Daphnia pulex: one gene and its partner. The protein of the gene in region 1 purifies or fractionates together with the protein of each later gene. This does not show direct contact. Links are inferred from orthologs where the notes say so. Each region holds a gene or a part of one and is shown on either strand. Other genes may lie near its edges.

The links. Proteins that work in one complex are often made in the same cells at the same time.
Region 2: the proteins of multifunctional methyltransferase subunit TRM112-like protein (region 1) and alkylated DNA repair protein alkB homolog 8-like purify together in Homo sapiens (co-immunoprecipitation; 3 studies listed by IntAct, with this or other methods). This does not show direct contact. The link is inferred for Daphnia pulex from reciprocal best matches to the Homo sapiens genes TRMT112 and ALKBH8.

What each region holds. Positions count from the first base shown.
Region 1 is NC_060017.1:6,066,939-6,069,655, reverse strand, and holds multifunctional methyltransferase subunit TRM112-like protein, read right to left. Parts: upstream 1,380-2,717; 5' UTR 1,297-1,379; coding exon 1,219-1,296; intron 1,158-1,218; coding exon 1,056-1,157; intron 976-1,055; coding exon 883-975; intron 828-882; coding exon 726-827; 3' UTR 721-725; downstream 1-720. Other genes in the region: tRNA-splicing endonuclease subunit Sen34-like, read left to right, coding at 1-243, 333-670; uncharacterized protein LOC124191043, read right to left, coding at 1,800-2,275, 2,341-2,433, 2,498-2,540. UniProt on the Homo sapiens protein: Acts as an activator of both rRNA/tRNA and protein methyltransferases. Together with methyltransferase BUD23, methylates the N(7) position of a guanine in 18S rRNA.
Region 2 is NC_060026.1:6,039,392-6,043,539, reverse strand, and holds alkylated DNA repair protein alkB homolog 8-like, read right to left. Parts: upstream 2,802-4,148; 5' UTR 2,556-2,801; coding exon 2,204-2,555; intron 2,130-2,203; coding exon 1,646-2,129; intron 1,583-1,645; coding exon 1,316-1,582; intron 1,243-1,315; coding exon 1,091-1,242; intron 1,021-1,090; coding exon 868-1,020; intron 804-867; coding exon 409-803; 3' UTR 382-408; downstream 1-381. Other genes in the region: tRNA pseudouridine synthase A-like, read left to right, coding at 70-315.

The sequences.
Region 1 (2,717 bases):
TTCCTGCTCAAGGACCAAACAAGGAGAAAATAGAGGAAATGCACAAAGCAAGCTTTGCTGACCAAGAAGTTATCTTTAAGGAAGAAAGAACCAAGCAGCTGTTACAAATGGCAGATAAAATCATTGAGGGCAAGAGAAGAAAAATGAATGGAAAGACTGTTGATGAGAAAATAGCCCTTCAAGAAGAAATAGACAAAATTCCTAAAATGTCTAAAGATTTGATGATGGTTCAAATTTTTACAAGTAAGAAATAATATTATCAGTCTTTATCAGATAAATAATGTTGTGATGAATGATCATTTGAATGATCTACTTTTTTGTTCTTGTTGTAGGGCCTCACTGGACATGTCAGGGGGAATCAGTATTGCCATTAGATTATAATGTTAGACCAACTCTCAGGTGTAAAGTGTTCAGTGACTTGTGGGAGAAAGGTTATTACATAACATCTGGTGAGAAATTTGGTGGTGATTACTTGGTTTATCCTGGTGATCCATTAAAATTTCATTCACATTTCATAGCTGTGTGTGTTGAAGAGCATCAGATGTTGACTCCTTGGTTTCTGATACAAAAAGGTCGTCTGGGAACAAGTGTTAAGAAAACTGTTTTAATGTGTAGCTTGGATGAGAATGATAAAGTAAATTATCAGTCTGTGAATTGGAATGGAAAATAAAGCACTATTTAAAAAATTGGACACATGTTGAATTGACTTGTATTTTCTACTTCAGTTACACTTCATCTTCATTAGCTAACATGTTTGGAATTCCATCAGTAACAGGGAATTTTCTCCCTGTCTCAGGACATATCAGATCTCCATTCATGACTTCAATCTAAATAAATGGTAAATAAAAAAATGGAACATAAATAAAATAAGAAGATTATTACCTCCATTAAAAAGTGGTGAGCTTTTTTCAAGAATTCTTCATTATTTTCATAGTCATCTACAACAGTTGGGGGAAGTTCATCAGTGTGTCCAAGCTAGATAATGTAGAAACAGAAAATCAACACATATTTAACCGTTTTTAAAGGGTAGCATTCAAATCGTGATTTCTTTTTACATTTTCTGCAGCTTTACAGAGAGCTGGCCAGTCCACTTTTTGAATCATCCGTGAAATGAATTCTGGGTTGAAATCAACTTCATTCACTTTAACTTCTTTTGCCTGTAAAACATATAAAGTATTTCATTTTGGTAAAAAAAATGATTAATCAAAGAGTACTTACAACAATGCCTAGAGGATACCCAACTGTTACGCCTTTCAGACATTTAGAAGTCAATATATTGTGAGTTAAAAGTTTCATTCTTAATTCGTTAAATTATTGAGCTCTTGACAGACGAACACACGTGTGTTTTCCAAAACAAATTTTCTACAAACCGCTGCCGTGCCGGACGGGGTTTACATTTTTGCTTTCACGGTTTCACCCCAGCCAGAGCAATAGATACCTGGTCGGTTCTCGGCCGTGTTGGCTTCCCTATCCCGGTTTCAGGGTAAACGTGGTCCGATTTGGAAAAAATGATGAGCGCCTCTAGTGAGTGTGTCAGGTACTACGTGAAGCCAGCCAATCAGGAAGGGTCTATGAAAAACTCATTGACCAATCACAGCTTACTTTTCTACAAGAAGTGAACAAAATAAAAAGGTAGAAGTATCCAACTGTCAAACCTCTAGGTCTTTTCTAAGTGTCCCAACATTCTTACATTTTATTGTTTGGTTGCGTAAATTGTTTATTCTTTGTAAGTGTCCAAACATTCTTACATTTTATTGTTTGGTTGTGTAAATTGTTTATTGTTCCGTTGACATAATACACTACTTCTTGTTTTGAAAGTGTACACTTTTCACATTATAATTTTCATTTGGTAGTTGATCCATCGAAATGCAAAAAATCGTTTGTTTAATTTGATCAAAATACCATGTCCAATTCTTTGGTACCATTGATGAAGTTACTAGTGACTGAAATGTCACAAAATTAGACTTGAAATTAGTAGAGCTTGCTTCCATAGAAGGTGATGTAACTGTCGAATCTTCAATGACAACAGCAACATTTTCGTTCATAACATCAGGAAGTGGATCAAAAATTGCTTCTTCAGCAGCCTGGTGGGTGTCCATTGATTCTTGAATAGTAGAGGTAGCTTCCACAGAAGGTGATGCAACTGTCGTATCTTCCATGACAACAGCAAGATTTTCCTTGATTGAATCTGGAAGTGGATCAAAAATTGCTTCTTCAGCAGCCTGGGGAATGTTGATTGATTCTTTAATAGTAGAGGTAATTTCCATGGAGGGTGCTATCAGATAAAATTTAAAGCAATTGCTCTTAAAAATAAAATGTAACGAGAACTATTATCAATACCTGTACTGTCAAATTTTTTTCTCTTAGACGTAGTAGGTATTTTGTCTACTTTTGGTCGTTTCCTTACTGATGCATTGCTAGCATTTGTTTCCACTACAATACATATTTAAGAATTGCGTTATTTGATATTAAACAAAATAAATATATTTAAAAATACCATTAATGTTATTTCTCCATTTGAAACCATCAACATTTTGCATTGCTTGTCGACTAGGTGTATCTAAAATGAAAATGGTTCAGTTTCTGTGCTTTACAGATTATACAGGAAATGTAATATCAATACCATTTATCAGAAAATGTTTGGGAATTGCTCCAGCATTACGATTCCTACGTTTGAAAGGATGGAACACGTTCAAAATTTAAATCCCTGATTTGAA
Region 2 (4,148 bases), on another chromosome or scaffold:
TATTTTAAAATCATCTTTTTTTAAAATCTCAGTGATGATTATTGAGCGTTATATATTAATGCATTTTAGCCGCACTACGATAGCTATAATCGTCGTTACGGGGGTGATGGAATCCATGAAACTTTAGACTGGAGCTCCTTTGATAAAGACATAGAAACATTCTGCGGTGATTTTATTCTGCCAATTATTTATAATGGCGAGATGGACATTCAAAACGGTTCAATGATAACTTGGTTATTGACATGTTTACCCATTCATACTTACGAATTCCCTCCCGACTCGAGTGAAAAAGTTACGGATTCCACATTGGAATGAAATCTTGCTCAGTTTTTAGTTCTGTAATAGCATTGATGAAATAATTGCTATGAACGAAATTAAATCTGTCTTTTGTACCAATGTTCTATTCAGCTATTCTTTCTTAAACTCAACACACCAATTACCTTGATCATAAAAACTACGACAAACAGTGATATTCGAAACCCTGGAACATAAATATTCTAATTCACCCTCCTTAAATACGTGATAAAATCTCAGGTAGGTAGAAGGATTTGACTCAGAGCTTCCTCTATTCTCTAAATCTTCGGAATTAGAATTTCGGAAATTAAGTTTCCATGGAACAAGAATATCAGCATGCTTGAAATTTGTCCGATTTTCGTGTACCGGTAAAACCGCTGTAGGATATGCCTCTGCTCTACTAGATACCTCACTCTTTTTTTGAAGCAGATACGAAGATTTTTCCATTCCTATTTGTTGGTCTCTGGCCCAAACATATATTAGAGCTCGACCACCCTTTACCAGCACACCTTAAAAAAAAATAAAACAAGTTATAAAATGGAATAAAGTATTTAAAATGTGGAAGTAAGGTACGGCTTATATCAATCAGCGTTTTCAAACGACGTTCATCGGTTGTCAAATGATGAATGACGGCGATACATATCGCAGCATCAGCTATACTATCTCGAAACGGCGAAACGCGACAATCAGCTTTAACAACCTGATGATCATCACGATTCCTGCAAACTAAAATGAAATAAAATAGTTCATGTGACACCTAGGAAATATAAAGAGATTTCGATTGTTAATCTTCTACTTTTTAATAGTTGACTTGATCGGTCAGTTCCAATACTAAACAATGAGCTCGAACAGTTGAAGTATTTGCCATTTCCGCAACCGATGTCTACTAGCAGTGACCCAACAGGAAAACTCATTATAAACGCTTTTACGTTCGGCCACGGCGAATGCCTTAATCATTTATCGTTAATGGGAATACACGTATTAAAAGAATGATCTATACGACTATGATAATAAATAATACCTTGTTTCACTAAAATGGGATGCGATTCCATCGTAAACATGAAATACATGATTTTTTTCGATTTGGTCAGCGGCCTCTTCTGAAAAATCTACGACCTTTGATGATTGTGAATCACACCATTCGGTAAATTTACAATCGCATTCCGACGTCCGTATTTTACGAAACGTTAAAGACGTCCGCTTTTCTCGCCGAAGAATGGTCAAGCCTCCAAACTCGGCATCAACTACATCAGATTTTCGTGGCGTAATACCGTGACTCCACATGTATCTAAAAATTGAATCCAATGTTTTGGTGATTTGACGAAACAATGAAGTTCTTATAGACATTTACCTTGATTCGTTTGTCATTATTAAGCACGAACGTCTTGGCAAAGTTATACTGACACATTCTCCACCTTTATTATTTTTGAAATCCATAACAATATCAGAACCCAGTGATACACTGATAATTCCATCTTCAAAGGAACTATGTGTGTCTGTGTGAAGAGGTATCCCTTGTCCAGGTACATAATGATTGACAGTCAACTGATTTGGTCTCACCAAACCAAATTCCATAAATTTTTCTACGAGTGGCTCCATTTCAACAGGTATTCCAGAAGATAGTGGGTTTTTGTCAACTTTATTACTACCATACAGAAACTCAAAGCCATAATGCTTCACTGTTCTATGTTTAAGCTGTGAAGTCTGTGATTCAGACTGCTGAGTATGGGTAAAAAATAACAGTTTTTCTTCTTCTCCCAATGAAATAAAATTTTTCTTCAATTTAAGTCCAGTGGGCCAAACCTTTGAAGTTTCTTGGAAACTTAATAATGTGTCTAAATTCCAAAATGAAAACAAACAACTTAGTACTTACAAAATGCTTTATACTGCTATTGCTGTAAATCCTCACCATCAATACACTTCAGAAAACACAAGTACAGAGGTTTAGATTCATCCTTCAAGCAGAAACTTCCATTTAGTTTCTGGTAGCTTTCAGCACTATTATTTTCTTTCTTAAAGCTTAAAACACAATAAGATTTTCCTTCTAACATTATCAGATTTTCAACTTCCCCAAAATGTTCAAAAATATCCAATATTTCTTCTCTAGTGAATCCATTTAATAAACCGGCATTTATCAGACATAATACATTGGTAGGTGAGGAAGAAAAATTATCTAGCAAGTTTACTGACATGTCTTTTGATAGATGAGCACAAAACCTGACAATTTTTCTGGCAATTTTCTTCCCATTAACTTTTTTCATTTCTATTTTTTGGGAGGGGTGGGGTGAGTTCAAATAGGCCAAAATATCAGTTATTCAGTATCAGTTATATTTTATATATTATTTTGTAGGCTGTTTGAGGGCATCAGAAGCAGCACTTTAATTCATTACAACTTCGGCGTTCGGCCTTCGAAACTCTTTAAAAAAGCCTTTAAATTATTATAACTTCCACAATCCGCGAGTAAGCAAGTACGGCTTGCAAATACGACTTGGCCAAGAAATATCGATAGAAAGAAACGGGTCCCCGGTCCCGGTATTCAATGTGCGTGGAACGTGGATCGTGGACCGGTGAGCCGTGGAAAAAGCGCCGTGGAAAGCCTAACTCCGCCCCCAAATGGGGGGAGCCAACTCCCGTGGAAATAGCCGGAGGCACGGTATTTCGTGGAAAGTGAAATCGTGGAATTTGATTTTTTGAAAAATACCTCCCCACACAATGCTTGGACAACACGGTACTTCGTGGAATGTATAACATCGTGGAATTGTCCCCAAAAGCCCCCATTATTTTAAAACCGTGTTATGCATGAAACACAATGATGTAATTAATGATGATGAAAATGGTTATTATGTGAAAACCAATAAAACGATGTACTTGTTGAGGATCAGAAATGGGATTAACGGGAACAATGTAGAACCGCAACCCCCCCCAAAAAACATAAATTGAAATCACAAATTCTCGTATCATTAGAAAACAAAACAAAAAAGAGACTGGCAGAGCAAGAGCGCGCGCGCAAAATTTTTGAAAAAACGTGACTCCCGTGACTACGTCGCAGTCGCCCAATGCCAGTGTGATTTCATAAATTTACCCAGGTAGCACACAGAGCTGTTACAGACTCCTGTAACCGATCTGTTTCACATACTTGTGAAACATTACCCGTAGAGAAACGGAAGAAAAATCAAGCATTGAGCAACTACAAGCCGTTAAGAAATTTATGAAGAAATAAAAGAAATTTACAAAATTTGCTAGATGGGCTTTATGCCTGCAAGTTTGTGATATTGTCATGGACTAAAAAAAAATCTGGAAAACAAAACGAATAGCGAACGGAACCTACAGGATTCCAGATCCCTACGACAAACTGAAAACGCAACCTGAGCAGCCGCCAGCGAATAACGCGTTATCAAACATAAACTTCGCAGATGAACAGGAAAATTTAAAGTACTGGTAATGCGCGCGCAAAATATGAGAAATTACAAAGAAGAATAATAAGGAAACAGAAACGTCGATTAAGGACAATGCAATCGATGACAGCCCCTTTGACAGCGACCAAGTACATCTTTCAGTTAACGACGTCTTCAATGACAACGATTAAATCAATGAGCTTGACAAAAGTTTAATCGACACACAAGCTGACAGACTACTGGTACAGGAATCCGCAAAGACAAAAAAAGAGAAAGACAACGGCACGGATTCAACTTAGATTTTATTGGAACTAATTGGTAAATAAATCAAACAAAATCGTTCGTGGATACGAGATCAGCATCAAAGAAAAGCAGAAGAGCAATCCAAAACCTTTTTTACCCGATCCCTTCCCCCAGATGATGTCTATCCAACTTGGTTACAGACTCATGGGCCCATTA